Linked DNA regions of Schizosaccharomyces pombe. The gene in region 2 interacts genetically with the main gene of each other region. Each region holds a gene or a part of one and is shown on either strand. Other genes may lie near its edges.

What was found.
Region 1: mutations in cdc11 (region 2) and sid1 are lethal when combined (synthetic lethality), as found in Schizosaccharomyces pombe (2 studies listed by BioGRID, with this or other methods).
Region 3: of cdc11 (region 2) and sce3, extra expression of one rescues a mutant of the other (dosage rescue), as found in Schizosaccharomyces pombe (2 studies listed by BioGRID).
Region 4: of cdc11 (region 2) and scw1, a mutation in one rescues a mutant of the other (synthetic rescue), as found in Schizosaccharomyces pombe (2 studies listed by BioGRID).

Annotation. Positions count from the first base shown.
Region 1 is NC_003424.3:1,982,957-1,993,382, reverse strand, and holds sid1 (PAK-like GC kinase Sid1), read right to left. Parts: upstream 7,686-10,426; 5' UTR 7,627-7,685; coding exon 7,510-7,626; intron 7,454-7,509; coding exon 6,155-7,453; 3' UTR 6,021-6,154; coding exon of another isoform or gene 5,912-6,020; 3' UTR 5,875-5,911; coding exon of another isoform or gene 2,408-5,874; 3' UTR 2,149-2,407; downstream 1-2,148. Other genes in the region: mitotic septin Spn4, read left to right, coding at 454-1,596; inp53 (inositol polyphosphate phosphatase), read left to right, coding at 2,408-5,874, 5,912-6,020; putative mitotic spindle organizing protein Mzt1, read left to right, coding at 7,839-8,033; SPOM_SPAC9G1.08C (phospholipase), read left to right, coding at 8,090-8,815; SPOM_SPAC9G1.07 (Schizosaccharomyces specific protein), read right to left, coding at 8,945-9,130, 9,176-10,201. UniProt on the Schizosaccharomyces pombe protein: Has a role in the septation initiation network (SIN) required for cytokinesis.
Region 2 is NC_003421.2:2,046,146-2,054,212, forward strand, and holds cdc11 (SIN component scaffold protein cdc11), read right to left. Parts: upstream 6,459-8,067; 5' UTR 6,408-6,458; coding exon 3,270-6,407; 3' UTR 2,985-3,269; downstream 1-2,984. Other genes in the region: cox13 (cytochrome c oxidase subunit VIa), read right to left, coding at 516-555, 640-699, 752-806, 855-904, 955-979, 1,028-1,190; protein mug33, read left to right, coding at 1,791-2,801; serine/threonine protein phosphatase PP6 catalytic subunit Ppe1, read left to right, coding at 7,473-8,067. UniProt on the Schizosaccharomyces pombe protein: Essential for the onset of septum formation. Involved in the organization of astral microtubules during mitosis. Acts as a bridge between sid4 and the other SIN proteins mediating their association with the spindle pole body (SPB).
Region 3 is NC_003423.3:1,772,942-1,779,704, forward strand, and holds sce3 (translation initiation factor), read right to left. Parts: upstream 4,029-6,763; 5' UTR 3,957-4,028; coding exon 3,953-3,956; exon of another isoform or gene 3,916-3,952; coding exon 3,905-3,915; exon of another isoform or gene 3,864-3,904; coding exon 3,773-3,863; exon of another isoform or gene 3,609-3,772; coding exon 2,548-3,608; 3' UTR 2,228-2,547; downstream 1-2,227. Other genes in the region: tif307 (translation initiation factor eIF3g), read left to right, coding at 82-92, 134-971.
Region 4 is NC_003421.2:670,116-676,608, reverse strand, and holds scw1 (RNA-binding protein Scw1), read right to left. Parts: upstream 3,134-6,493; coding exon 1,448-3,133; 3' UTR 1,358-1,447; downstream 1-1,357. Other genes in the region: p21-activated protein kinase inhibitor Skb15, read left to right, coding at 1-249, 319-476, 541-844; SPOM_SPCC16C4.21 (uncharacterized protein), read right to left, coding at 5,054-5,299; pus3 (tRNA pseudouridine synthase), read left to right, coding at 5,849-6,493.

The DNA.
Region 1 (10,426 bases), on a different chromosome or scaffold from region 2:
TGATCATCATATTACCTGTGTAGTAACTATTTTCTTGAACAATATAATGAACATTAAATCAATAACTTAAATGCATACTTCCCAGCAATCTATTTCTGTTACGTAGTATAGAGGTTTTTATATATTTGCCAAGCATAATTTCTGGCATTCAGAATCTTTATGAAATTTAATGAGCAAACTAGTAATGATAGTTAGTATATTTACGAGACGAAAGCCCGTTAAAAATATAATGAGGTATAGTGATCATATAGTTATATCGCTAACGAGTGATTGCAACGAAGCTTCGATTATCTATTTACTTAGACCTTCCGTTTTTTACCATTTATGCTTTAATAAAACTAATAACAATTCTCTTGCATTTTTTGGAAACTTTTTTATTTAGTTTGGAAGCTTTTAAGTCAATATTTTACAGACCGTTAAACAAAGGAAATATACTATTCATCTCTGCGCGTCATGAATGAAGAAGAGACAAACTTCGTTGGAATTGCGGATTTACCTAATCAGCGTCACAAAATAGTTTCACGAAATGGTGTAGCTTTCACTTTGATGCTTTGTGGAGAGTCGGGTCTTGGTAAAACAACATTTTGTAATACACTCTTTTCAACAACAATTAAATCACATATGGGCCCGGAAAAGGTTCGTGCGAAGCATGCTGAGAAAACGGTCGAAATAGAGATTACAAAAGCTGAGTTAGAAGAAAAAAATTTCCACTTAAGGTTGACAGTAATTGATACCCCTGGTTTTGGGGATTTTATCAATAATTCAGGATGTTGGGAGTCGGTAGTTGAATTTATAGAAGACCAGCATGAATCGTACATGAGACAAGATCAGCAGCCAGATCGTCGTAAGATCATTGATATGCGTATTCATGCTTGCCTATATTTTTTGCGTCCCGTAAGAAATGGTGTTCGGCCTATGGATTTGGAGGCTATGAAACATATTTCTAAGCGTGTCAATTTAATTCCTGTCATAGCTAAAGCCGATATGTATACTCGAAGGGATTTAGCTCTGTATAAAACTAGAATTTCTCAAGTTTTAGAATACCATCAAGTCAATGTTTATAAACCTAATATGGATGAGGGCGATCCCGTTTTTCACAGACAAATTCAAGGAATCATTAATTGCATGCCATTCGCGATTGTTGGAAGCGAAGATGACATCCGTACTCCTGATGGTAGGGTCGTTAAGGGTAGAGAATACCCATGGGGAATTGTTGAAATTGAGAACGAAGAACACTGCGACTTTAAACAGCTTAGGAATATTTTAATTCGGAGTTGTATGCTTGATTTGATTCAAACTACTGAAGAAAAGTTGTATGAGCAATATCGACAAGAGCAGATGAAAGTTCGCCAGTATGGAGAACCTAAACTGCGGACTATTGATAATGCGAAATTTAAGGAAGAAGAAGAAAATTTGAGAAAAAGATTTACAGAACAAGTGCGCGTAGAAGAAACTCGATTTCGACAATGGGAACAACGCTTGATTGCCGAACGCGACTCATTAAATAAAGATTTGGAAGCTCAGCATGTTCAAATAAAACAAATTGAACTTGAAATCGAACGACTAAAGGCGGCTACCAGCTCTCGCAAACGTTAGAGATAATGTTAAAATATAACGAAACTTGATACCCAATTATCATTTGGGTTTGTTTGCTAGTGAACCATACTATCATCTTTTATGGTCCTTCATTTCTAATACATAATGTCAAACGTCTATCTTGCCTCCCGTATAAATTACATTCTTTAGACAATCAATTAACTATATGATTTTATTTTATTTTTTCTATGCCTTTATACACTCTTTTATTGTGGTTTTATTCAACGTATAGTACATATGCTTTCATAAGTTGCTCAATTTTTATATAATTTTGATATCGAATAAATTTTCTGTATCTTATAAAATTTCTTGCATAAGTACTTAAAATTTCTCGTTTTGTGTCTTTCTGAAATAAAATTGTGCAATGTGTGTTTATAGTCAATGCTTAATAATATGTTACAAATATTTAGCTACATGACAATATGATCTTTCATTGCCTTGAGAATGGCTTTCAAAATTGTTTCTATAAATGTGAAGTAAACTATTTAGTTAAGCAATACAAATGCCTAAAAAATATTTGATAGTTTTTTGGAATTCCTAATTTGTATTATGCGAATTTCTACATCATCTTCCCTTTTGTTTTCTGTAAAAATGATTATTTGGAGTATTGTTGATGCGTGTGTTTGAGTGCACGAGGCTTTGTTTATTTCATAATAGGTCAGCCCACGCAGTGTCTTGGTTGTCTTTTTCCAACAATTAGCTGAAAAGCGCAAAAGGTCCAAACAGCACCTAATAGATTTTAGAAGTATTTAAAAAAGGTGATTTATTTAAAAAATTGATTTAAAGCATAAGATTGTCGTAATCATGGAACATGGCCTCTCGCCAAGGCTTCAGCAATGTGAATGAAGATGAACCCGAGTTGCCCCCTTCGGTTTTATCATTGAAATCAAAGTTCGAGTCATTGAGTACCGGTGACCTAACTAATTTGGACGAAAAAACTGCTAAAAGAAGAACTGTAAAAGGTTGTAAAAATGGCACTTCTGAGCCAAACGTTTTTAAAGCAAGACCTATTCCACCGCCGAGGCAAGTCTCATCGACTATAGGAAGTTCGACTGGACGAAAAGTTAGTGGTTCAATTCAAAGGCTAGCTTCTAATTTTAAAAATCCTTCAAACCCCCACGCTGATGTTTCAAAAATAGATCGTCTACCTAGTGATTCTTCTGAATCTCACGTAGCTACTCCATCTTCTCCTACTATATCTAATTCATTTGTTTCTGTTTCTCCATTACTTAAGCGACCTCAACAAAAAGGGCCTGAAATTTCTTTTCAATCATCTGTACAATCTACCAAAGGAAATGATCTAATGAAACACGATGATACCAATAATCATCAAATACCACCCCCTAAACCCAATTTTTCTTCGAAAGCAGGTTCTTCAAGCCCGATATCTGTATCTCCATTAAAAAATGTTAAGGCATATATTTCTCAGTCTCCAACTCACTCCGAAGCCTCTTCGGTTCTGTCTTCTGAAGAAGAAGAAGAAAACGTTATCAATTCTAGTAAAAGTGTGCCCTCCTTTGATTTGCATGATCCATTTAGCCAGACCTTTGGAAAGGAGTGTCCCATATCGACGGCGCCTCCTGTTTTGAACATTGGAGACAGGTCTTTGGAAACTCCTCCTCCAATTCCCTCTCCAAGACCTCCACAGCCAGTTGCTGTTGAGGCTATACAGCAATCGCGTGCGGTAATATCTCAACAATTACCGCTTCATGTATCTCCCCGAAAGCCCCCAAAACCACCGCTGCGTAAAGTTTCTACCCAGCGCTCTTCTTCCCCAATAGAGAATTTGGCTACTAAAAGTGACGCCAGTCTTGTTACTGGTTTACAGTCGTCTCCCTACACTCATATTGCTCCTGCATCAGAGATGTCTTTAATACCTGAGAAACCCAGATTACCTCCCCGTCCTAGTCACACTTTATCAGAACTGTCTAGTCCAGCTTTAACATCTGAAAACTTATCTTCTAAACCATCCCCTTTGTTTCCTCCACCACCACCGAGGGTGAAATCCTTAGCTACTAACAAACCTGTCTCTATGCCTGTTTCTACTGAGCAAAGTGATCCTTCTGTTGCTGCTAGTTCCTCTTCGTCATCGCAATTAGATGTTGTTTTAAAAGGAAGCATACCAGATACTTCTAGCGTTAGGAGGAACCCGCCCTGTTTTGTTAACGGTGTTGAATCAATTAACGTAGATTTTGAAGCTAGAATCTTTGATGTTAGTGGTGATCGCCTTGTTTTAGCTGGAAACGGAGGACTTCGTGTTTATGACACCGTTACTGGTCTTTGTCATTGGCATATGCCTCTAGGGGATACGAAGGTAACGTCCTTATCATTTAAATCATCCCCGGAGAATTACTCTGACGATGGCAGATTTGTTTGGTTTGGAACGAGAGATGGGATGTTATGGGAAGTCGATGTTCAAAATCATCATATCGTTACTAAGAAGTCTGTTTCCAATTGTCCTATTACTTACGTTATGGTCTATAAAAATGAAATGTGGACGTTGGACGATATGGGAAAACTGTATGTATGGCAGGAAGATGAAATTATGGGTTTAAGTATACAGTCTACTCCACATAGTATTCGCACCATTCCTCATGCCACTCATGCTATGGTTTTAGATAATCGGCTTTTATGGGTTGTTGTTGGGAAATCAATTTATGTATATGATCCTTCAACTTCAGAAAATGAGTCGGCAAGTGTTTTGGCGAAGCCCATGACTCCACCTGGTTTGATAGGTGATATCTCTTGTGGCACTACTATTTCAAACTTTACGGATTTGGTCTTCTATGGTCACGTTGATGGAAAAATATCCATCTTTTCGAAAACCCAATACCGTTTTTTGGAGCTAATTACTAGCAGTTCATTCTATAGAATTTGTTCACTAGTTGGTGTTGGAAATACACTTTGGGCAGCCTACACGACAGGCATGATTTACGTATTTGATGTTTCTGAGAGTCCTTGGCGCCTCTTAAAAAGTTGGCATGGTCATAAAGCAAGTCACAATGGAGCTACCACTATACTTGGTATTGATGTGAATAGCGTATGGAAAGCTAAAAGGCTCCAAGTTGTTAGTATGGCTTCTTCAGTTGTCAAGTTTTGGGATGGTTTAATGATGGGTGACTGGTTAGCTACCGAAATGCGAAGCCGCTTCCCAGAATATAGTAATTTTACTGACGTGTCTATACTTATTTGTTCCTGGAATGCCGGAGCTTCAAAGCCATCTGATCTAGATAGTGATACTATTGGAGCTAGTATGATTCCAATGATGATTCGAGACAATGGATACCCAGATATAGTTGTGTTTGGTTTTCAAGAGCTAGTTGATTTGGAGAATAAAAGACTCACAGCTAGAAGCATCCTTTCAAAGTCGAGCTCCAAAGGTGGTTCGTCTAACAGTGCTAATATTTCCAGTCAGTATCGTTTATGGCGTGAAAAATTAGAATCTGAAATGATGCGGGTAAGCTCAAACGATGATTATCAGGTTTTGGTATGTGAAAATTTGGTTGGTCTTTTCTCATGTGTTTTTGTAAAAAATAAGTTACAAAGCAAAATTCGGATGTTACAATCGACAACTGTAAAAACGGGACTAGGTGGTTTGCATGGTAACAAAGGTGCAATAGTCGTTCGCTTTCTGGTAGATGATACTTCATATTGCATAGTAAACTGTCATTTGGCTGCTGGTCAATCCAATAAAGCAGCCAGAAATAATGATTTGGCAACAATTTTAGACAATGCTTCTCTTTTTCCTGAAAATGATGAAACTGATCAATTGAATACATTCGTTGGTGGTGGCGATGGCTCTTTAATTATGGATCACGAAGTTTGTGTTTTGCATGGTGATTTAAATTATAGAATCAACACATTGAGACCTAAAGCTTTAGATTTAATTAAAAAAAACGACATAAAAACTTTGCTCCAAAGCGATCAGCTTCTTGTTGAGCGAAAAAGAAATGCCGGATTTCGTCTGAGAACATTTACTGAACCAGAAATCACGTTTGCCCCAACTTACAAGTACGACGTTCATAGTGAGCAGTACGACAGTAGTGAAAAAAAGCGTGTGCCTGCCTGGTGTGATCGTATCTGTTATCGTGGAAGTCCCGACTACATCTCTGCAGAAAACTATACCAGGTACGAACTGAAGGCATCAGATCACCGACCAGTATCTGCTTTAATACATTCCAAAGCGAAGATGGTAAATGCGCAATCTCAGGGGTCCACATGGGACGTGGTCAAACGAAAGTGGATTGAGTATGCTGATGAATTTAAGAGAAAGGCTAAGTATGTTTTTTTTTGGAGAATTTTGCTAACCAACCAGAATAACCTATGTCATGAATTATACTTCTGTGTCTTATCAAACGGCTGAACAATATTTGTCTGGAAATAACTGGAATGTACAAAATGCTTTAAAGCAAGTGTCAAGTTGATTTCGAATAGTTCTCGTTTGGATGTGTTTATATATATTATGTAGATTAAATTATAGTAGAATATGCCATTATAAGTTCATTTAAATACAAAATTGTGAATGCTGTAAACAGGTTGTTTACGAGTTTTTAGTAAGCTATCCATTTAGACTTCTTCTTTTCTCAGTTTCTTCAAGCCACCGTGAAAATAGTAGTTGTGATATGGGGCTCCGCTTTTGCTTTTTGTGATGCAGTCTGTTGTCTGGAGTAATTTGGTTAACAAATTTTGAGGACAGATTTTTATCTAAAGAAATGAAAGATGTATAAAAAGATTCTAAAGATGAGCGCTGCGTTGCTGACAATTTATCATTTAATAACATCGATCGTATGGTGGACTTAATATAATGTTTCATAGCAAAATCGGAAGTCAACGATTTATGATAAGAGCTACCTTTTTCAGACAATGACTTGGAAAAAGGATGCGGTGTCGCTTGATCACTCATTATAGTTTTCTCTAAATATTTTATTGATGAAGGCAATTCCTCTTTATTTTGTGAACTGATGATGGAATTTTTAGGAATGCTAGTATTCCCTAACACAGTTGAGTCAGATTTCTTTACAGTTTCAAATGTCCAATCCTCAATGTCAGCATTTCCTTCAGCAATTGGTTCTTCAAAGGGCTTTAAAGTATTATTTATGGTTTCTTCCAATACACTTTGATCCGAATCATCAAATAATTTATTCTCCTTCTGAACAAGCAAAGGAATAATGTCTTTCACAGTTCCTGCGCTTTTGATGAATGGGTGTTGAAGGAGTTCTTTAGCTGACCATCGCATATTAGGATTGAGATCTAAGCAGCAGGACACAAAATCACGGAATGTTGGACTGAAATGATCATCTAGCTTTGGAGGCTCGGATTGAGGAATTTCAAAGATGACACGCATTGGATGCATTGTAGCGCGGGGCGGAATTCCGTTAGCCATTTCAATAGCCGTAATTCCAAGAGACCAAATGTCAGCAGCTAAACCATAACTTGTTTGTTGTATTACTTCCGGTGCCATCCAAAATGGCGTTCCAACAAACGTGTGTCTACGCGAAGCAGCGTTCGAAAGTTGAGCGGCAACTCCAAAGTCAGCAAGCTTTACGTTTCCGGTAGAGGAAGATAGTAGTATATTGGCGGCTTTGATATCTCTGTGGATTTTGTTTTGTCCATGAAGATAATTTAGCCCATAAAGGACCTCTCGAAGAATGATTGAAATTACTTGTTCATTCAACCTTCCCATTTTCAAAAGTCCCGAAACTGATCCTCCATCCATATGCTCCATCAAAATCCATAATGTGTATCCGTCAACAAAACAACCGTAATACTGAATTACATTGGAACTGTTGCAATTCGATAACATAAATACCTCTTGTTCGATGTCGGTAATGTCGTCAATACCTGTTTCTAAATCAATCTGCAACTGTAAGTTTTTTGTGATACTAAAGAAGAGTAAAAATTAATTAGTCTTACCTGTTTAATAGCGATAATGTCGCCAGACACATTTTCACGTGCTTTCCAGACAACCCCAAATGAACCTGATCCTAATTTCCGTAGCAGAGTATAAGAATTAGCATTGAGAGGATACATTTCATCAATATTTTGACTGCTCAAATCTGAGGTTGAGCCTACTTTCGGTTTCGTTTTACAAGCACAAGCTAGATGCACCACGAAGTACTTTGTTTATTACTTAGAGGATTATAATGAGCTACTCCGAGACGCCTATTCCAGTAAACTTAACATTACCAACTTGTTACGAAGTATATATAATTAGACTAGTTTATTATAAAGTATCGAGTTTTATGTCTGAATCTACCAAAGAGACAATAGAAGTTTTATACGAAATAGGAACATTGCTTGGAACTGAACTTGATAAAACAACGCTTTCACTCTGCATCAGTCTTTGTGAAAACAACGTACACCCAGAAGCAATAGCTCAAATAATTCGGGAAATACGTATGGCTCAGGAACAAACTGTTGACACAGAACCAAGTTAATGGCAAGAAGTTTAATCTCAATAGTTGACCTCGGGGTTTAGTATTTCTTTTATCTAATGTCTTCTTTAAACAGTGTTCTACCTTCAAATGCATGCGCAGAGATTATTGAAGGGAAAGACAAGGTTCACAATGTAGTTATTTTAATGCATGGACTTGGAGATTCTCACAAGAGTTTTGCAAATATGGCAAAGAACGTTCCGTTGCCCAACACTAGTTATATTTCCTTACGTGGACCATATCGATTACCATTAGATTTTGAAAATCCTGGAGGCAATTGGATGTGGGGAGAGGATGTCCATTTTGATCAAAACGGGGAACTGCAATCTGAAGCCGATTTCTCTAAAAGTTTTACGATGATTTCAAATTTAATTGGCAATCTACTCTCTTACGGTATATTATCTTCTAGAATATTTTTTTTCGGGTTTGGTCAAGGAGCTATGGTTGCTTTATATAGTTGTTATAAATTGTCTACTAAATACCAGCTTGGAGGGATATTTTCCTTTGGAGGTACTCTACCGCTATCCATAACTTTGCCCAATCATCCATTTCATGTTCCAGTGTATTTGTTTGAAAAGCGATTGCATTGTTCATGCAGCGAATATGAAGAATCGCGATTACGTAAAACATTTAAACCATTTCACCTCACATGTTGGAATCGTGATGATAAAACTGACATGCCTTCATCCCCTAGAGAATGGTATACATTCGTTCAATCTATTAGTAAACATTTGTATATTCACAACACGTTGTTTGAAGATGCAATTCCTCTTACATCTTTTTAGAATTGATTTATTTAAGTTAACATTTGTTCACAATAAAGTTAATATTCATTTGGGCATAGATATAACAATAACTCCTCTAGCCATTATGTGATTAAAATTAGTACGTTTACCTTTTGATCATTAAGATTTTCAATCGACAAGATAACTAAGATCCGGAAGCTTATCAACAATTCTATTAATTAGTTGATTTTGGTCAACTGTTTTTATATTTCCACGCCCTGCTCTCTCATTATTAAGAAACGAAGTATTGATCGATTGAATAACAGCCGGAGTGTCTTTAGGAGCTGACAATGAAGTAGAAGGTGAACTAAAATTCTGAAAAATTAGAGTATTTGGCTCAACTTGAGACTCTTCACTTACATCATCAACGGAAGCAGAAGCTAAATTCGATGAGTTTTTCGAGGTATCTTGGGAACTGACCCATGAACCCCATTCAAAATTATCAGAGGTTGGATCCGGGGAAAGAGACGTTGATGAATTTTTTTTCTTCGTTTCTCTAATTTTTTCTTCAGAGTCAAGTTTAGCGATTGATGAATGTTCTTCGACTTCATCAACTTTTTTACGATCCAAACTTAGTGGTGATTTTGGAACAACTTCATCCTCTTTATTTATTGAAATTGTAGAACAACTGTTGCTTTCCCTCTCAATCAATTTGACTGGGGAAGAAAGGAAAGTATTTGCAGATAATTTGTGATCCTGTTTAACAGCAACTGTATTATTTAAAAGAGCCGTAGAAGAAGAATAATCCTTGGGAATTTCATTCGATGATAAATTAGAAAAATCAAGTATATCTGAAGGAACATTTATACTGGAAATCTTGGTCGTAGAAAAATTAGATAAAGGAGACTGTTCCGGTAACAAAATATTTTTGTCATTGATGGGCGGTGTGACAGGTGAATTGGTATAGCTTGCTGTTTTCCTTTTCTGCTTCTGATAAGCTGTTGACCAACAAAAAAGCACATTGCTTTTTCGATTTACATTAGACCGTTCTTGGTTCCATAAAGTCATATGTTCTTTAAGTAAACGACTAATGGTTCCTTGTTTTAGTTCTCCTAAACTTTTCTCATTGTATCCTAAGCGGATTAATTGTCTAAAATTGGTTTCCGAGGTAGCTGTAATACCTATATAATCTTTGGATGCCAATGAAATCCGTTTAGGAGGCTTGACAACGCCAAATGTGTAATCCAACTTTTCATTAATATCTTTCAAATTAAATGTGTCAAGATTGAGAGCATTTTCTTTCCAGACTGATGCCTCCATTGAAAAACTGACATCGTTAGTAATTGAGGGAATTGCTGAATTCGAGTTGGATATATTTTCACTACCCCATGCATTATGAGGATTAGAGGCGTTCGAAAAACTAACAGAGTTCAGCAAATCATCCATATAAATCACATTCCAGTTCTTTAAGTTGTAGATTCTCAATTTAATAATATATGAGTGGATAAAAAAAACGTAGGTGCCATCAACTTCGGGTTAAAAAGAAAACAAAAAGAGCCTTAACTATACTTCTTTTATAAAAGGAACCTTTTTAGAGTATTAGTATAAATGCTCAAGATGAGTTGAAAGCGGTTCGGCTAGGGTAAGCGACTTAAGCCACCACATCGTGTG
Region 2 (8,067 bases):
ACTCATTATTATCTTGAGATTAATAATTCCTTATAATCTTAATGTTACATATATACTAATGCAAAATATAATTTTAAACAGTAAAAATAAAAAAGTCAAAAGGATAGAAACAGACTGTGAACTACTTGTAGCATATTAATGATTTGTATATATATTCGTTCTCTTTTTCGCATGCCAACTTTCAGTCTCATCACTTATTCATTTTGTTTACATAGTATGCAACTGTCTCCATATCCTCCTTCAACTACCTCATCTCTCTTTTCTGCTTTTTCAGAAATCAATGATTATTCACTGTACGTCGCTAAACAAATAACGAATCCAATGCTGAAAGTCACTATTGATAAGAAAACAGCTATTGGCAATACAAACCCGTATGGTCTCACTATTACCTTTTAGCATTGCTAAAAACACACTTTCCGTTATGCATCCCTCCAACACCTTATTCGTTCTTCTTTGCTTGCTACATGGTATGGGGGTTAATTGAGTCGTGCAAAAAGGCTTAAAGAACGCTATGCCTATTCATCATCCTTCTTTAAATGATTGACTTTATCATTCCTGTATATCATTAGTAAATTTCCTTGTCTCATACAAACATAATCTCTCCCTTCTTTCCTCTCTTCTCTCTCATTCTCATCTTACCAGAAAAGTGTCTTGCTACCGTCTCCCCATGGATACTTTTTGAAGCGCAAATTTTCAAAGCTAAACCATTCATTAGTCCCTTCCTTTCATTTCTTCTCTATCTTCTTCATACCTATAACCAGGGTCCGTATCTTCAACATGCTTGGCATGCTCTTGATGCTTGCAATCTATCTCTTGTTAGTCGTTGCAAATCTTCACATTACACTTTTACGTACAAATATAATACGCATTGGCACTAGCCAATATCAATGCTGGTCCACCAATGCTGGCAAATGTTAGCTACCACACAAATTCTTCACTTCCTCATGTTCATACTAATAAGTCACTTTCTTCCAGAATTCTATAAACCCGTTAGTAAGATAAATTTCTATTCCCACAATTCACATACCACTGCTACGCTTTGCATGCTCCTCTTCTGCTTGAACCTCTTCAAGCCAGTTCACCTTTGCTTCGTTACTATAAGCTCGAAAGCTGAGCAAACCCGCTCTCTTAGGAACGCTCGTCTTCAATGTTCTGGATAGGAAGCCAATGTTACGATTCATCATGCTCATTACACTAACAAATTCGCTTTTTTACGATGTTTTCAAGGAGATGGGAGTTGTTGCTTGTGAACATTCTGCTCCTCCCGTACCTTCGTAATTCTACCCATATACTGTAGTAACGCACCGTGTGCATTCTTCTACCTCGGTACAAATTTACCTTAGCAATGTTTAGCGTTCAGTTGCGTAGCGTACCGTACTACTGAAGTGTGGCGCAAAGGGGGAATGAAGTCAAACAACGTTTAACTCAACCACAACCAACAACAAAAACCTCATCATATCTCACCACCAAAAATCGCCTTTCCGCCAAATACATAAAAGCGACTTCAAGGACAAATTATTTCTTTTTTCCATATTAGGAATTGGTAATTTAAACACTTTTAGTCGAATTGAGAGCCTTTTCGTTCATTGCTACGTACCAAATTGCCCTTTCTCAACTTCTGCCTTCCCCTCGGATTTCATCTCTTTTTTGATCGTTTCTCGCTGTAGAGGAACAAAAAGGAAATCTTTAAATCCTAACCGTGCAAAGTTGAACTTTGTTGGTAGCTAGCAAAAGCTCAAAAACTACTCTCTCAAATCACCCTCCAAAGCTTTTCCGCTTTTTTTTAAAAAATGCGGATTCGTAGTGCTACTCCTTCCCTTATCTTACTGGTTATCGCCATTGTCTTTTTCGTCTTAGCTATATGTACTCCTCCTCTTGCAAACAATCTTACTTTAGGAAAGTATGGAGACGTTAGATTTGGCGTTTTCGGTTACTGCTTAAATTCAAATTGCAGCAAGCCTTTAGTTGGTTACAACTCGGATTACCTTGATGAACATGCAAAGGACGGATTTCGTACCTCCGTTATTGTGCGTCAAAGAGCTTCCTACGGCTTGGTGATTGTTCCCGTGTCTGCCTGCATCTGTCTCATATCCACCATTATGACTATATTCGCCCACATTGGTGCCATTGCCCGCTCTCCCGGCTTCTTCAATGTCATTGGAACCATAACATTCTTTAACATTTTTATCACCGCCATTGCTTTCGTTATCTGTGTCATCACTTTTGTCCCCCATATTCAATGGCCGTCATGGCTTGTGCTCGCCAATGTCGGCATTCAACTCATCGTCTTGCTTTTACTCCTTGTTGCACGCAGACAAGCCACAAGGTTACAGGCCAAGCATCTTCGTCGCGCCACCTCTGGCAGCTTGGGTTACAATCCGTACTCTTTGCAAAACAGCAGCAATATCTTTTCTACTTCTTCTCGCAAGGGAGACCTTCCCAAATTCAGCGATTATTCTGCCGAAAAGCCTATGTACGATACCATTTCCGAGGATGATGGTCTCAAGCGTGGAGGCTCTGTCTCAAAATTGAAGCCTACTTTTAGCAACGATAGTCGTTCTCTGTCTTCCTATGCCCCAACTGTTCGTGAGCCCGTTCCCGTTCCGAAATCTAACTCGGGCTTCCGCTTTCCGTTTATGCGCAATAAGCCTGCAGAACAGGCTCCTGAAAATCCGTTTAGAGATCCTGAAAATCCCTTTAAAGATCCCGCTTCAGCTCCAGCTCCAAATCCATGGTCGATTAATGATGTTCAAGCCAATAACGACAAGAAGCCCAGCAGATTTTCATGGGGCCGCTCGTAAATTATCGACCAATCGAGTTTTATCTATCATTTATCATCTCTACATGTTTTCTAATTTCACTTTCAAAGCATTTTTTAACCGTCCCCCCTTTACCTTTTTCCTTTATTTAGTTGATACTTATATGGTACATATGTGTGTGTTTAATGTCACTGTTTCTCAATAGAATTTATCTGTTTTAAGCTAGTTGAATGTAAGAAGAGTTGGAGGGGTTTTCTTTTATTTTTTATTCTTTCAATAGGGTTCTTTTTCTTTTTTTTTAATATATATATATTTTTAGACGACCTTCACGTTTCATTATGCTTATTCATTTTGTATGTGCCATCCAGAAATCGAATTATTATTTACACTATGGTAATGGCGAGTATTATGGTGTATTATGTATTGTGATTATTAACCTTTACACAACAGCGAAACAATCTTGCTATTTGAAAGGTAAAAATGTTTCAAGCTATATCTTCACAAGTCATACTAGTTGGATGATTTGGTGAATGCAGCGCGAGATGATTGTGAAACATCAGATCCATCCAACCATTCTAAGTGTGGACATGCCAATAAAATAGCTTCAGCATACATTTTTCTTCTTGTTCTCCATGCCTCAGACAAAGTGGAACTAAAGGCCAGCTCTTTCTCCTGCCATTGCTTTTGCGGGTCTTCTTTTCTATGATGACCTTTTTGGTTGATACTTTGTTGGTATTTTGAGGCTGCAGAGAGCTCATAAATAGAGTCGTCAATTACGGGATAAATGTTGAAATTAAGAGGATTCATGCGCAGATCCAGTACGTTTAACTGTTTCAGGTTTGCCAATATATCACATAAATTTCGCATCTTTTTGATTCTATTTCCCACTAAGTAAAGTCGGTGGATCATTTGCAATGGTTTCAGCGACTCTATGTCTGATATATAGTTATGTGATAAGTCCAATACACGTAAATTGGGCATACTGGTCGCAATGTATTTAGGTACTTCTTTGAGCTGAACGTTTGCAAGCTCCAGATACCTCACTCCCAGAAACATGTGCTTACAATCAAGAGTAACGAAGGTGTTATTCGATAGGTATAGATTTCGAATATCTAAAGAGGGTTGAATGACAAAATTGGAGGCTTCAGGATCTTGAGTCCTGAACGAAAAATTGACTAAGCGTTTTAGTCGACGGATGTCAGGGGGACGATTAAATCGATTAAGGTCCATGTATAAAGTTCGTAAATGAGGAAATTGATCTACCTCAAGTTGATGTATGGCGTTGTTGCTGATGCGTAAAATTCGCAAATGAATCATTGGTTGGCTAGCTTTCAAGTTGGTTAGTTTGTTATTGTCCAATTGTAAAACCATAAGGTTTTGAAGCGAACTTATTTCTTCGATTTCTTCTATTTCGTTATTTCCCAAGAGCAATTCCTCAAGACGATGAAGATTGGAATTCGTAAATGACAATTCTTTAATCCTGTTATTGCAAGCGCTTAATTTTAGCAATCCATCCAAATGTTGAATCCCATCTAAACTCCATAGATGATTACTGTCAACTTTCAACTCACGAAGGTGAATTAGAGAAGAAAGACCAGTAAGGTCCTCTAGTTGATTATATGATATGTCCAGATATTGTAGGTTTAATAGGTTGGAAAATGAAGTCAAACTTGACAATCGATTTTCAACAGCATTCAGGTCTCTTATCGTAACGGGGCATCCTGTTAAGTAAGCAATTTCATTTCCTTCCAACGTGAGCTCTTCAATAGAGGGACAGAGTTCAGAAAGTCCAATCAAGGAATCCAAATGTCGTCTACTGATGTCTAATTGTATAATCCTTTTCCAGAAAGGCTCATATGGTTCAACATCAGAAAGAATTTGAATTATGGATTGACGAGATACTGAAAAACTATATTCAGCATCTTTGTCGGCTTTACTTTTCAATCCAGAACCTGAAGAAATAAAAGGAATTGGTGACCCATTTTCATACCTGCCATTAAACATTTCATCAAAGCTCTCATTTTGTAAGGATAAATCGTGAAAGGAAGATAAAATTTGCGGAGCGTTTTCGCTATTGTCTCTTAATGAATGCTTAGGAAATTCGGATTGAGCAACATTTTGCTTACGCAAAGGAAAGGAATGAGGTTGTTGCTTCTCCAAATTGTTTGGATCATTGTTCGCTTGATGTCTGGTGGATGCCGCTTTAAACAGTATTGTACGCTCAGGATGCGAAAGACTAGCATCTTCGTCGGTTTCAAAATCAAAGCCCAAGTCTGAATCATGACCTTTTCTCCGCCACCGATTGTGTATCCTGTCAAATTCCATGGAGCCTTGAGTTGTATCTATGCCTTCAGGAAGATCTGCTGGCGTTATAACCACCATATTGGGATAATCAGACACTTTTCTTGAGCTTTGAGCAGAGTGACTTCTTCTGGTTTTAACACTGGAAGTTTTTAGCGTTGATTTGGGAGAGCTATTTAATCGGGCAGTCTTGGAAGAGGATTGTGAAGAGCCAACATCAATTTCCCGAAGTGGCATTTTATCGGTCATATATGCCTGGCGTTGAGGGGAGGAAGATGCGGATGGAAAGGAATCATCATTATCATTGAAAATTGAGGTAACCCTTTTCATACTTTGAAGACTTTTTAAATGAAGTTGATCACTTAAGGAGGGAAATGCATTAGAGCTATCTTCTTGACTTACTTCAACTGAAATTTCATCTTGTTCCTCCTCCTCACGAAGTCCGCTGAGCTTTCGAGGAAGAAAAATTGTAGATTCTCGTCCCGAATTAGGCATTCTTCCTCGCAATCTTGCCATGACTTCTTCAACCTCTTGATAGAGATCTTTGGTATTGAGGCTAGCCTTTCGTTCAGTTGTACGCATAGGTTTTTGTGGTCTTCGTGGTTCAGGGAGTGAAAATTGTTTTTCCCCATTTTCAAATGAATTGGACTTTACATCTTGAGTTAATTGATTCAAATGCTCACGAGTAAACGGATCACTAGCTCCTTGGAAAAGTTTAAGGGGGGATGTATTATTGGGCTTCAAGGAGGGAGAAGAAACAACGGATGAGGATGACGATGCATTGCTAGCATGGTCCGTATTTTGCTTTTCGTGAACCGAGTTAGACCTGGTATTAGATTGTTGACTTTTCAAGCTTCCTTCTGAGTATTTTTTGCTAAACTGAGAAGAGGAGATAGATTCTTTTTCGTAATCCTGTGAAACGAAAGGATCTTTAGAAGGAGAAGATTGCATGTTCGATACATTAGATAGTTTACCAACTGAAGAAGAACTACGCCTAGAAGAGTTATTACTGGACTTTTTGGACGGATTTTTTGTTGGAGACTTTGAAGGGGGGCTTTGTTTGCTGCTTTCTTCAAACATATTTTCCAAATCCAACCTTGCAAAAATATCACGAGCAACAGGGTTCTTTGCATTCACCTGTTTCCATTGAGGAACATCCGGAGCATCATTTCTTCCTTTCTTAAACGTTCCATGCTCTGTCGAAGTTCCTGAACTACCACGACCTGTAGATTGAGTATTGTTTACATTTGATGTGGTTGGTGGTTCACTAGAATTGTCTGACCCTTGTTCTTGTGGCTGCGGAATCCATTCTTCACTTAAATCATGTTCAAGCCATAACTGTTCCATGATTTCTGAAAAGCACACATACCTTCCATAGAAAAAAGAAGTTTTGTTTACGTCTATGAGACGCGACGGGATGTCGTGGTACTGGGACTCAATCACCCTTTTGCACAATTTGACATAGGATATTCAAGCGTATTCGTAATGCTGCTTATCATATTTTACGATATTTTCCACAATAAGGGTATAGCGTTATTTTGTTTGTTACGTTGAATTCCAGTAAATTTATTTATTCAGAAGGAAAATTATGGCCATAAGTATTTGAGGAAAAAATCAAAGCTATAAGTAGTTCTAAGAGTTGATAAACTTGTGCATGAGAGATTCACTTTATTCTGTTAACTCGGAAGACTCGATAAAAAACAATTAATAGCAATTGCTTCGGTAACCTTCTCTGTACGATTTTTCTTTTGCCTACGGTTTCGCATACTTGACGACGGAGATGCCATTTATATCAACAAGATATCATATATTCTTCATGACTTTGAAAGCTCTTTAGTAAGCAAGTTTTTCACAAGTTGGATCTACGCTTGCAACAATCTTCGAACTGATCCTAAATTCGCTTACTATATTTAAAGGTTATGGAAACGACACTTTTATTGTCGTTCTACAGACAACGTTTCTCGTTATGCTACTCTCTCATCTTCGCCTCATGACCTAGACTTTCAATCGTTTAAAACTCTACAAGTATTTATAATTTAAAGCAATCCCACCTCGGTAATTTAAGAAAATTTGCAACAAAATTTGACGTTAGCAATAAGGATAAAATGTGTTCGACGACATCCCAATTTAATCAGCGGACTATATAAATTTGTATATAAAAGGTCATTTCCACATGTAGACTTTTTCATACGACTTTTGAATGTACCAAACATCCATATCTGATAAAGACTTGGTACGCCGTTAATCGTTACAATACGTTAAACACCCCTCTTAAGTATTCAACGTACTAACTTACGTACTCTCCGCAAACAACATATTTAATTAGGAAGCCAATTTCTAAATAGGAAAGTATTGAGAAATAACTGTGTTTAATAATCTAGAAGAGATCCTTGAATAATTTGTGCTACAACGATGTTTGACTTGGATGAATGGATCGCTACAGTAAGGAAGTGTAAATATCTTCCAGAACACCAGTTGAAACGATTGTGTGAGATGGTAAAAGTTATTTTAATGGAGGAGTCCAATATCCAGCCTGTGCGGACTCCCGTTACTGTTTGTGGTGATATACATGGTCAGTTTTACGACCTTTTGGAACTGTTTCGAGTAGGTGGAGAATTGCCAAGCACAAATTATATATTTATGGGTGATTTTGTGGATCGAGGTTATTTTAGCTTAGAAACTTTTACGTTATTTATGCTTTTGAAAGCAAGGTACCCAGATAAAATTACATTGCTTCGTGGTAATCACGAAAGTCGCCAGATCACTCAAGTCTACGGGTTTTATGATGAGTGTCAAACCAAATATGGAAATGCAAATGTTTGGAAATATTGTTGCCAAGTTTTTGATTTTTTGACTTTGGCAGCGGTTATCGATAACAAAATTTTATGCGTGCATGGTGGATTATCTCCGGAAGTTCGCACATTGGATCAGATTCGTATTCTTGCGCGTGCTCAAGAAATTCCCCATGAAGGCTCATTTTGCGATTTGATGTGGTCTGATCCAGAGG
Region 3 (6,763 bases), on a different chromosome or scaffold from region 2:
CTAATGTATGTTAATTCAACACTACAACAAATTTTCTGGTGATGAAGGGCTCACCCTCTTCAAACATCTTTTGTCTATAAAATGAGTTCATCGTATGTAATATATTTTTTTGTGAAAGAAACTAACAAAGTAGGAAATCACTGGATTGGGCTGACGATGAGGACTATGGTACTGGATTGCCTTCGATTCAGACGTTTGATAATCCCGATGGCACAAAAACCATGATTGAATTTCGCATTGATGATAATGGCAAAAAGGTGAAGGTTACCAGAGTTATACGGAAAACCGTTATTACGGAGCGGGTGCAACACGCTGTGGCGGAGCGTAAGAAATGGAAAAAATTCGGAAAGGAAGCAGGCAAGAACAGTGGTGTTGATGCTAGAACCACTAGTGTTGGCGAAAATGTTCAGTTAAGACTTCAACTTGGTTGGACTACTACGAAGGAAGAGGAGCAAGATGAGGCTGCTTTGGCTGCCGCTAAGGTTAAGGCAAAGGGTAGCTCTGTGGTTCGTTGTCGTGCTTGTAAGGGTAACCATTTTACCGCTCAATGTCCTTACAAGAGCATTATTGGACCTGTTGATGAGCCTCCCTTGGATGCTAGTCCTGTTTCTTCAAGGGCTAGTGGTGCCTTGGGCGAAAAGGGTCGTTATATAGCTCCTCATCTTCGTGCTGGCTCAGGGCGTGAGAGTGGTGATTCTATGTTCAAACGTGAACGTGATGATAGTGCCACTCTTCGTGTCACTAACTTATCTGATGATACCCGTGAAGAGGAACTTCGTGATTTGTTCCGTCGCTTTGGTGGTATTCAACGTGTATATTTGGCAAAGGATAAGGAAACTGGTCGTGCTAAAGGTTTTGCCTTTGTCAGTTATTACGATAGAGATTGTGCTATCAAGGCTCGTGATCGCTTGGATGGTTACGGTTGGAACAATTTGATTTTACGATGTGAATTCTCCAAGCCTCGAGATTAAGTTTCTTTTAATTATATAAAAATTTCTTGAAATTGGATAAAGGTCTACGTATATAAAAAATTTTCTTTTTTCTTCCATAAATCGTTCCCTTATTTTCACCCATGTATTCAGTCTAATCCCTCGGATTGTCTTAACCACCTTACCCGTTTCTGAGAGCTTTCATATGTTATACTTTTTAATGCTTGACATTGTTCAGGCTCTATTATCCCTAATTGCATTGGGTTTGGTAGAATGCTAAAATTTCCTTTTTTGGGGTTGTATCTGCGTAGTGATCGTCCCATGGTATGTCTCATAAATCTATGCTAAATTGGAAAGGATCCTTACGTTTTGTTCCTCTGCTTTTGCTATTTAAAAGAATAAAATTAGGTTTCATTTACTTATCGTTTGTTTTCTTTTCCTCTTTATACTTTTTATATTTGAAATGGTTGCCTCTGAAAAATTTTTGAAATAACTTTTAGTATTTTGTAGCAATATCATGAATGGTTTAAAGCTGTACACTTGCCTTGATGATTGGTCTTTTGGTACCTTTTTTTTCAGATTGTGAAACAAATTTTTACGCGCGAAATTAGATTGCTGGTGTACTTGACGAGTTAAGAAAAAATAAGGGTTTTTAAACTGACTAATTTTAACTATTTTAGAAAATTTTTTTGTACTCCATTGTTATAACTGCTCCAAAACCATTTGTTATTTTTTCAGCATGTAGTGCTACATGGAGAGTGTAAGGATTCGCAAAATCCATTAATGTTGTAATTTGAAGCAACTTTCTCGTTTGTGTCTTCATTAATTACACCAAGGCTTTCTAGGTTAAGCTGAAAGAAAAGCTAATTTTTTCAACTGACTACTTAAGCAGTTTTGACTTTACCAATTCGACTTTCATTATTACAACTTATGCTGTACATTCTTTTTTTTAATATCTATAATATTAAATATTTATGAGATCAAGCGAAGGCCCCTTAACTCAGTTGGTAGAGTGTGAGATTCCAAATCTCAAAGTCAAGTGTTCAAGTCACTTAGGGGTCATATTTTTTATAAGTTTTTATCCTGTGTTCAAAGGCATAGCAAGTTTTAAGAACACATTTGTCATAAAGATTTAACAATATAACTCTCATATCCGTTGAAATAGCTGGTTCACTTCATACGATAGTATTGACTTTTAATGACCATTAATCTTTGCTAAGACGGCAAAGTAATATATACTACTATTAATTACATGACAAAAAACAAACATACATCGACATATAAGTGCAAAACAAATTTTACTATAAATTTAACCTAAAACGACCAAGGCACCATTATAAGAATAAAATCAACGAAAAGTATGCTTAGTCAACCCGCTTTTTTCTATATGCAATTGAAACAGATGCAAAGCCGATGGGCGGAACCAGAAAATATCAAAACAGAAACAAACAAGAGATCTTAAAATATAAGTTAGCAGCTAATCTCTCGATTTAATGGAAAAGTGTATGTGTTTATTTATACCTGTTTTATTATATAGAGAACCCCAAAACAACGATATTAACATTACTTCCATATTTATGTCAAAGCGAAATAACATAAAATTGACATTTTTTAAGGTTTAGTGTTTACGGCCTTTGCCAATCTTCGTCCAACCCTCTTCTTCTTCTGCTTCGCCAGCGTTTGTGGCAGGAGCATCCTCAGTGGCAGGAGTCTTAGTCGCAGCGACCTCCGAATCAGTTTCGGAACTCTTTTTCTCACCGTCTCCTAAACGGATATCTGATACTTTCTCAGCAATAGCATCTGTTTTATCGGTCTTTTCAGCCTTATCAGCGGAAGGCTTTCTAGAAGTAGAACGCTCACGGTTAGCATTGTCCTCGCGACGGAAGCTCTGAGTACGCTTGGCAAGTTTTTCCTCAACACGTTGAAGCACGGATGTATTGTCTACGGGCTTGGCACCACCGAAAGGATCTCTTTTAGGCTTGGAAGATGTAGTAGTGGTAGCAGAGGGAGTAGCTTCGGTGTTGACGTTGGAGGAGGAACGAGGTTTTAAGTTAAGACGAGGGCGCTCAGAGGATTCACGTGGAGGAAGGGGTCCACGACGAACCCATTCACGTGGCTCTTCACGAACACGATCGGAAGGATCACGAGCAGGATCACGGAAACGACCACTGTTGGTACGTCTCTTGCCAAACGGAGATTCAGCAGGTTCAGCAGGAGGAAGAGGTCCACGACGAACCCAGTCACCAGTAGAGCGTTCTTCACGGGCAAATGAACGACGAGGCTCTGCAACAGTGATGCGGACTGGACGTCCCATCAAATCCTCACCGGATAAGGCTAAAGCGGCGCTCAAGGTATCAGCGGTCTCAAATTCAACATATCCAAAGCCACGAGAGCGTTCAGTGAGAGGGTCAATGACGAGGCGAATGCTAGTGACACCTTCGCCGAAAAAGTCGCCCAAATCGTTTTCTGTTAAGTCAAAACTCAAGTTTCCAACATGAGCTGTAAAAGGGGGTTCAGAAGGGATGGGAATGGCATCACGTTGGTAACCACTTCCCATTCCACCCTCGCGACGGCTTTCGGGAGGACTTCTAACTGACTCAAACGTGGAAGAAGGAGCATTGTATCCGGCGTCAGCAGAGCTAGGAGTAGCACGATACGTAGATGTGGTGCGGTCTTGGGCTAATAGATAAATTGAGTTAGCTAAGCAATTTCAAAAGATTAAATAGAAAAATGATGGAGCCCAAAAATGAGAGCCGAAAATTAATAGAAATTTTCGGATTCCTAAAAAACACCCCACTCCAATTCAATCCAAAATTTTCCATTATAAAAAACAAAATACTTACGCAAAGCTGGCAAATCATCAATATCATCAGCCCAGTTAGTCGAACCAAACGACTCGTCACCCAAAAAGGCGTTCAAACTCATTTTCGTACTCTGATATCGTTCAGCAAACATGCCTAATTACCTAAACAAACCTTTTTCGGACCTATTATTAATAACTCATGATCAAAAACACAACTTGCCCATTATGAAATATTTTCTTTTAGATCTTCACTTTTTACTAACAAGATCGTTTTCTTCGTCGTTCTCGACAGATTTAATATTTGCGATTCTTGGCGCGCTGGTCCACAAGAGCGTAGCCCAGTGATGCCGTGACTGCTCAATAGTAGAACGACTGAAGCATTCCCGCCTGCTGTATTTGCTAAGGCGAGAAAAAGGGAGAATTGGGAGACGTCTCTATTCCTCACAGTCATGGATAATGAGGATTAAATCATTTCGGTAAATCAAGCATGGAGGAATTTTTGTGAATGTGAGCATTATAATCGCATAACGATAAGTAGCGTGTTGAGCAAAGAGGATTGGATGGAAGTAGTTTTTTTATTGTAAATAAATCAATGGAAAATTGGATATGGAACCATTGTAGCGTTTGCAATTTGATGGAAAGTCTTTTTTTTGGGATTATATACTTGTGATAGGAGAAAATGATTTTCCTTTTTTTTTTTTGAAAGAAGTCCGTATTTGATGTCAGCTTTCACAAATCTAATAATTCCTATAAAATAATAGTTTAAAAAAAAGTTCTTGAAGTTCAATCAGAAAACAGAGATTTGATTTTGCGATAAACCAAAAGCAAAGATTAAAATTGGCTTTACGATTTGTTCAACCATGGTTTGACATTGAAGTAAATCGCTATTGAAAAAACGTATCATTGATAAATGATAAATGATTTATTATTGAGCTCGATCAACAAAAAACGAGAACGTTATAGTCTCAAGGGATGAATGATGATCAGTTTTGTACACCATTGAATTTGTTTTTGAGAGTAATAAACTTAAACTTCTCAGCGAACTGGACTGTTTGGACAGTGTTTAGACTTCATTTTTTGCAGATTCCTTTTCTAATATGGAATTATAACAAAACAAAAACACATTGGCTTAATTATAGGGGAAAGGAAAAGGAAAAGGACGCGTGCTTGCACAGAAATGAATCGATGTTTTGGATACAAACGTAAACAAGACAATAAGGTGGTGAAGCAAAATTGCAAGGAATTTTTCTAATCTAAATACGGCGATTTTGAAATTCATTTCTATTCAGCTTATCATCCTTTTTTCATTCACTGACACAGTATTATCTTTTAACGTTGTATGACGAGATGCATTAGTCTATGCTTAACAAGTTGTGTAATATGAGAGACAAGACAAGAAGAATTGGGAATTCCAGAATATGTGCAATTGATAATATCTACACGATTTTTAAAAGATATATCAAGTTACGAAAGTTGATCCATTGTTGGTACATTTTAAGTTCCCGCATTAGAGTTAAAGGGCCGCCGCTTCTGCCAATGTTTATCATCAAAGGCTGGTTGGGATAGTAAGAGAAAATGAGGATGATACAGTTTTCAATTGATATTCGGATGTTTATTATTTTATTATTATTTTTTTAGACAATTGTCTTTGATCTATATTCAATGTGAGCTGAGAGCTGAGTGGAGAACGAAAAATTTCTGAAACAATAAAAAATCCATTAAAATATATTAAAATCATAATAATGTTAGAAAAAAAAAATCGAAAAAATTAATCAAAGGGTTTCATTGACTTGGAGCAAAGATAAAGGAAGAATTTGAAAAGAAAGTAAAATCTAATAAAAGAAACGTGTGAATTTGAAATTAAAATGGAATGGTCTTTCTTTTTTTCTTGGTGGGACGCAGTCATTTATTTAATTACCGACCAGCCCTTTTTAACAATTAGATAACAAAGAAAACCGATTTATTTCATTTTATATTTTTTATGTCACTTGTTTTTTTGTTCAAATTCACTCTTCTTATGATTTCTTTCTTCTCAAGGATTCTTTATGTTCATTTTCTTTTATTTACAAAGAAGCATCCGCATAAAGAGGTATTGTTTACAACAAACAAATGGTTGCCATCCAGGTTGCGAACCAATCTAAAAATTTCATTCAATTCCTTTATGCCATTTCTAAATTCAATTATATATTTTAAAAAGGAATTTATAATTTAAAAGATTCTATAAAAATCGTGGCTTTGAAGGATTTCCCAACATGCTGGTTTCATTAGCCCTACACCCCCAAAATGTCATATTGACGAAGATCGAATCCTTTATTTCTAATTTTTTTTCTAACCGCAGATAATGATGAAAAAAAGAAGAAAGTAACATTTATAATAGTCTTCTTTTAGTTATAATCAGATTTTCTGCTTCGATTTTATTAATTAATGGAAGTAAATTCAAAAAAATGGATTTATCTTACTATCGAGGGATTGTTCCCTAAAATGCGTTTCCCGCTACTGGCCAGTCGTTGTTACCTTCTTACTACGACTATGGGATTCTGAGTATATATAATTATGACATGAATTAAACAACGGAAATTTAACCATTTACACTGCTATTGCTTTTTTTACTTAAATTGTGTGTTTATAACAGGAATTGAAACACAAATTTTGTTCTCTTGGTGCAGTCTGCGTTTTAAATTTCTTTAGCGGCAAAAGCAAACAGTAGAGAGAGATTTTAATTCCAATTCAATTTGAGCAACAGCCACGCCTTTTCTGCTCAAAATTATTTTTTTGTTAAAAATTTTCTTTTTCTTTTTCTTTTTTATCCTTTATCTATTGATTTTCATCTTTGGTTTTACGAGTGGTATTTGCTGGTTCAAATTTTAAGTGCATATACCGATTGATTGATTGATTTGTTGATTATAGCTTCACTCCATTCTTCGTTGCATCCTTTTTAAGTTTCTTTTTTATTTCACAAAAAGTCTATGCCGAAGTTCTGCTCGTGTTTGGTATTTCATCTACAGCGTTTGTGTATAGCATTTCCCAAGCA
Region 4 (6,493 bases), 1.4 Mb from region 2:
AAAGGTTCATGGTTGTTGGTTCATACTCTTAAGTCATCTTCTCATAAGGGCATCACTGGTATAGCAGTTCACCCTTCAGAAAAATTGGCCCTAACAGTTGGAGGTGATGGAAAGTTGCGGCTCTGGGACCTTGTACGAGGTAAAGGAGGTAAAGTTTTACCTTTAAGCACTATCCCAGAATCTATTCTTTTCCTGAATGAGTCGTCATTTGTTATTATGTCACGAAGAGGCATTGATGCCTTTAAATTGGTAAGAATTTATGCATTTTTCTATATGCAATTTTCCTCCTTCTTTTATAAATTACTAATACATTTTTAGGATCTCACTTCCCTTTTCAGCTTCTCTTCTAAATCTCAATTGAACGCTTTGTGTCTCTATCAATCCAAATTGATAGTTGGACGAGATAATGGAACAGTACTGGTTTTGGATACTTCTGATGGGAAGATTTTACATGAATTTACGGCGCATAAGAAACGGTAAGTGTCTTTTTATATTCTATACTCAACAAATTAAAAATTCAAAATTTTCTAATCAAGTTAGCGTCAAATCTGTCTACCCTGTTGATGATTATTTAATTACTGCAAGCTCGGATGGTTCAGTATGTATATGGGATAAAGATTGGAACTTAGTAATTGAGCATAACATTCCAGAAGGCAATCGAATTACCTGTATGGTAGCTATGTTGGCCGATAGCAATTCAGAACCCAAAAATGTCGAAGATGAAGCTGCGAAACGTCAAAGTTTGGATTCGGAAACTTCTGAAACTTCTTCAGAGTCAGAATCGGAGTCAGAATATTACAGCACTTCAAAACAGCCGCCTGTGAAAAGGACGAAGCATGCCTAAAGTTCCTCGCAATTTTAAAAAAAGTAAATCAATTTCAACTTAATAGGGAAAGGACGGGATTACTATTATACAGTTTTTGTTGGAAATATTTTATTCACCTAGACTATACTAATATTTATAAAAGGATTAAGTGTTTGCTTATCAATGTATCCTAAAAATTCTTGTATGTAAGCTTAAGTTGGGTGTTACAATAAAAATACATCTAACCAAGTTGTTACAGTACTTGTTTAGCAATTTAAGATGGGTTCATTTAGAAGCAAAAGTCGATATTATTATGTAAATTGATATGTGTAGCAGAAGTATATGGAAATGATGAGCAAATGATAAATCCTAATGACAACTAAACAATGCAAGTACCCATCTTATATAAGAGTGAAATAAAACAGATCGCATAAATCGACAAATTGTAATTAAGCTTAACAGATGGTTAAAGTTGCATGCAGTCAAAGTGGAATAGATCGCAACTTTTGATTAACAAAGAATCAATATGCAAAACTCAAAAAAAAAAAAAGAGAAACAATATGCTTAAAAAATTTGGACCTAAAGTCCTTGCAAGGTATTGATGAATAATGATAAAATGAAGACGAGAAAATGCTAGATGAGCTATTTGCCATACATTAGATTATTACCCCAACTGGGACTGGCGTGGACTTCGTTATGTCCACCAGTATGATTAAGCAAAGAGTCTGTATTGTAATTATTCATGGAACCAGAGTGAAGGTTACGAACGTTTCCATTATGGTTGTTATGCGATGAACTTGATGAGCGCACTCCCAATGGGTTCTTCGAAAAACTCAAACGAATACCACCTTTAATGCTACTGCTAAGACAAACACCTTGTAAATTCTTCAAGGCTTCCATGGCGTATGGAATGTTTTCAAATTCAACAAAACACATGGGGCCATTGCCTTTAGTGCGGAAACAAAGTCTTTTGTATCCAACTTGAGTGGAAAACAAAACTTTCAACTCTTCCTCGGAAGTAGAAGGAGGAAGATTTCCAACATAAATGGTGTTACAAGGAGGATTTTGATCAGCAGGGTTGGTATTCGTGGGGGTAGAAGCAGGGATGCGTTGATGAATTCCATGACTGGAGGAATAAGCCGAAAATGGTGTGGAAGGTGAAATGGTAGAAGCTGAAAATGGGTAGTCTCTTGATGTTGATGGTGTCAAGGGAGGAGGGCTTGTTGTACTGAATGCACTGTTTGCCGAAAAGACACGAGGATGGGGTGATTGAGCACTAGAATTTTGGGTATGAGCGCTATAACCCTTTTCAGATGAAAGGTAATTGCGCGCCACGTTGGTGTTAATAGATAATGAGTTAAATCGCAAAATCGGAGGAACACCGTCTTGACGCAAATTGGTACTACTTTTGGAAGGAGTGGGTGACCACGTAGGTGAACCAACTTCATCCTTGGCTAACACATTCGCGAGTGTTAAAGGATAAGAAACAGGGAAAGAAGACCACAACCTATCGGAATGCAAACTACCTCCATTGTTAGGAGCCTGAAAAGTGCTATCACCCAAAGGTGTTTTTGAATGACGATAAGCAGATTCCGAATGATTTGCAGTAGGCATACTGGCTGACACATGATTACTTGACCTGCGGAAAAGATCACGATTTCCTAACAGTGGACGAGTTGGAGAATGGTTTCGAGACAGTCTGTTAAATGAAACACTACTCTCAGAGCCCTCAGTTTCGTCGCTAAGATTTGTTTGACTTCCCTTTCGATAATTGTCTAAAATTATCATGCTGCACGCGGAATAAACATCGCTAGATAGCAAAGTGTCTCTAGCAGATGCAGCAGCATCTCGGGATGAAAACACCGCCAATCCATGAGCAACTTCATTATCCACGGATACAGGATTAAGCTCGACGGATACTACATTCGTAGCGAATAAAAAGGTACATAAAAACTCTCTGGGTGTTAAGTCCCTAGGTAAATCCTCAATCCGCAAAGCATAATATCTAGGAAAACCGAATCCAACCTTAGGAGGAGCAGAGGCTAATCCACCGTTGAGGTTAGAGAGGAGTCTACCAATCGGAGTTGTGGATTTTTCCACAGATGCATAAGTAGGTAAACCGTCAGATTCAGCTTTCCCAGCTTGGCTGTGAATAGCCTGAGGAGACATGTGAAGAGCATGACATTCATCATCTCCATTCAGAATACCGGTTGGAACCAACGATGAACCACGTAGCGCATCTTCAGTAAACTCGGTTTCGTCCCCGACTTTGGTCTTACTGGATAACGATAAAGGCTTTTCAATAGCGCTCGGTGATCCCACAAACATTTTGCAAATTATATATAATGGTAATTGAAAAGAAGAGAAAAAAGAATGACAAAGTGGTTGATAAAGTAACCAAAATAAGCAATAGATGCCTAAAAGTAAAACACAAATGAAATAGCAGTAGTTGTTAAATAAACCCCAAACGATAATAAATGAGGCTTCAAGCTTAATAACACGAAATAGTTAATAAGTGGAGTAAAAAGTTAGAAACCTAGTTGGTCGACTAAAAAGAAAGTGTGTAAGTAATAAAAATAAGCAAGGGCAATGAAGAAAAATAAAAAATTCAGTAAAAATTGTTAGCAAGTATTAGAAAAATCCAAATACTTGACGCGAAAGAATTAGAAGGGCAACAACCTAGAATACTGGACGAAGATAATAAAAGAAAGACTGTAACTTCAAGAAAACGAGAGCAAAGGGTAAACTGTTGACCACCACAAATAATTCTAGTTGCTAAAAGAGAGACAGATACAACTGTGAAGCAAAAAACACAAACTGAAAATGAAAAAAAGATGACTGAAATATGCAAAAATACCGAGCTAACAAAAAGTCTAGGGCAAGGCTTATGAGGAAGAAATCGTCAAAAGTATCGATAAAAAGACTTCGAAGGTATTCGAAATGCTTAAAAAAATCAGTTAGCGATTTTTTTTTTTTCAAAAAAAAAGAAATGGTTGCAGATGGAAAAATAAAATAAACAATCAACTTTTCAATCAGCAGAGTATAAACAAATATACAAACAAGTAAACAAAAGACACTTGTTTTTTTTTGGAGAGGTAAATCAAAGGAAAGCAATCGGGCAAAAAGTGAGAAGCAAATAAAATATACCGCTATCAACAAAGAGTAAATATCCAACAACAAGAACAATCAAGATAGAAGTAAAATTGCTGGGAAGATTGGCAAAACGTAAGCAAAAGAAGTATGAACACGGTTTATAAAGGAGCGAAGAATGAAAGGAAAAGCAAAATAAAAGAAGCTTTTCTAAGTAACGTTAAATAAGAGAGATCAAGTTAAAAGAAAAAAGGCAAAAAGATTCCAAGAAATTTCAAATAAAAAGAAAAAAACTAAGAAGTAAAGTGAATATGAAATCTTTGTGAAAAAATGATTGAAACTTGATCAAAATAATAATAAGGCATAAAATAGGGTCAGAAGAAAAAACAAAGAGGGAAGAAAGAGAAAAAAAAAAGAAAAAGAATAAAACAAAAAAGGTAACCCACACAAAAACGAAGAGACTAAATATTATATAAATGTCACAAAACTTTGTATGAACAAAAAGATGGGCAAAAAAAAAGACCAAACGTTTAATAAGCAAATACCCTTAAGTAATGAGTAAAAGGCGGAAGAAATGAATCAACGAAATCAAACGAGTGAATAAAATTTCGAAAAAAAAAAAAATAAGGAGCCGGGTATCTGAATGAAAACGAATCGTGACTATTTTATGGATTGAGAATAGGGAAATCCTAAAAACACAAAATTGTTTAGTGGGGATAGAAATGGATAGATATGAAAATGAAATGAATAATGAAAGGAGGTCGAATAAAAACCCAGTTGAAAAACTATTTATGGCCAAAATTCAACAAAGCAACAAATGGCTAAAGTTCAATGAAAGGGTACAGAAAAATAAAAAAGAAAAGTAAGACTTTCAACACACACGTTGTGCTTCCGAAACGGATATAATTTTCCTTGTCGTGCAGGCTGAGTCAACGAGCCCCTAAGATGAAAAAATGAGAATTTCCGTAAAAACAATGAAAAGAAAATATTTAATAGGGAGAAACCGAGGAACGCAATAAATAGCAAAACAACCAAGACTGAGAATGCAAAAAAGAAAAAAGAAAAACAAGCGTTATTAGATGAATGAAAGGACAATCGAAAACTAATCCAAATAATAATGGAGATGATAACAGTAAATATCAAATTTCTGCTATTCTGCTATGTTTCCGGCTTAAATCTTTTTTTTTGCACTACAAAAAGCGTTTTCTTGCCTACTGCGACTGTTTTCCTGGTGGTTGGGAGGTATAGGTGGTCGGTAAGTTCGGCGTGCAGTGTGGAAACGCTGTACGTTAGAGGAACACCAGCATCATCATGCATGACAAAATGTTGAACCGATGGGTTAGCGGTTAAGATGCAACATTCACTATATCTCAATCCCTTAACATTTGCCGGATAGAGCTGCATAGAAAAAAATTTGTCAAAACCCGGGTAGTAAGAAAAAGTATGGTTTAGAAGGTATTTTAAATAAATCAACGAAAATTTAGCAGAGAACAGTAAATAAAGAAGCAAAGATTGATAAGAAAGCGGTTGCTAACGAAAAGAATTAGTTTTGTAGGTTGACCTTTGAAACGACTGAAAAAAAATTAATTTTCGATAAAAGTTGAAAAAAAAGGACCTTCTAAAAACGGCAAATTTTCGGCTTCATTGTCCATTCAAAGGGGTAGAAAGGAGATACAAGGTATTTCTTTGTGGTATCTAGTATGTACAGCTTGGTTTAGTAAAAGAAAATAGATAAACAACAGGGTATTGTGGGTAAGACTATTCATGGAAGCTAGGGCTCTTTCCAAAAAATTATAGTAATATTCTATATTGTTCATGAAAAACAGTTGAAGTGCTTCTACCCTTAGTTTAATATTTTTTTAATATCCTAACTTTTGCTTGAGCACATGCCATCTGTAGTACCTTTCCTCTCTTTCATTAAAAACTTGCTTAGTTAATTTCATCTTTCAAACTATGCATAGTCTCTTAAGACCTTCAAGGTTCTCTGCCAACCAATCTGTGCTTTGCTTGCTCCAACGACATCGGGTTTTCTTTTCTTCGATTTCGGTGAAACCCCGGAAACGAATGGTCTACTGTGTTGTCAGCTATCGTGGTACTGGCTTTGCTGGTTTGCAGTACAATGCCAATGTCAAAACCATACAAGATACACTGTTCCAAGCATTCGCTCGAGTAGGCGCCGTTGTTCAGGTGAATGCTGACTCTCCCAAGAAGATCCGAATGTGTTCTGCTGCTAGAACAGACAAGGGTGTACATGCCATTGTTAATGTTCTTGGTTTGAAAGTGTTGGACAATCAACCTCTACCTCATGTGGTGAATTTGGTCAACGATATTTTACCACCTTGTATTCGTGTATGGAAAATGGCGAGGACGTTTAATTCGTTTTCTCCACACACTGTGTGCGACAGTCGCGTATATGAGTATTGGTTGCCTGTCTCCTCTCTACTTACTCCCCGTCCTTGCACTCTCGAGGCCTATGTAATTGCCAAGGCATCTGAAAAAGCATTCCCCATTAATGAAACACTTTCCCATTTAGCTAACTTAAGCAAACAAGACTGTGTTGCGAATTCCTTGTCCGAGCCCTTTCGTTTATCCAAACCT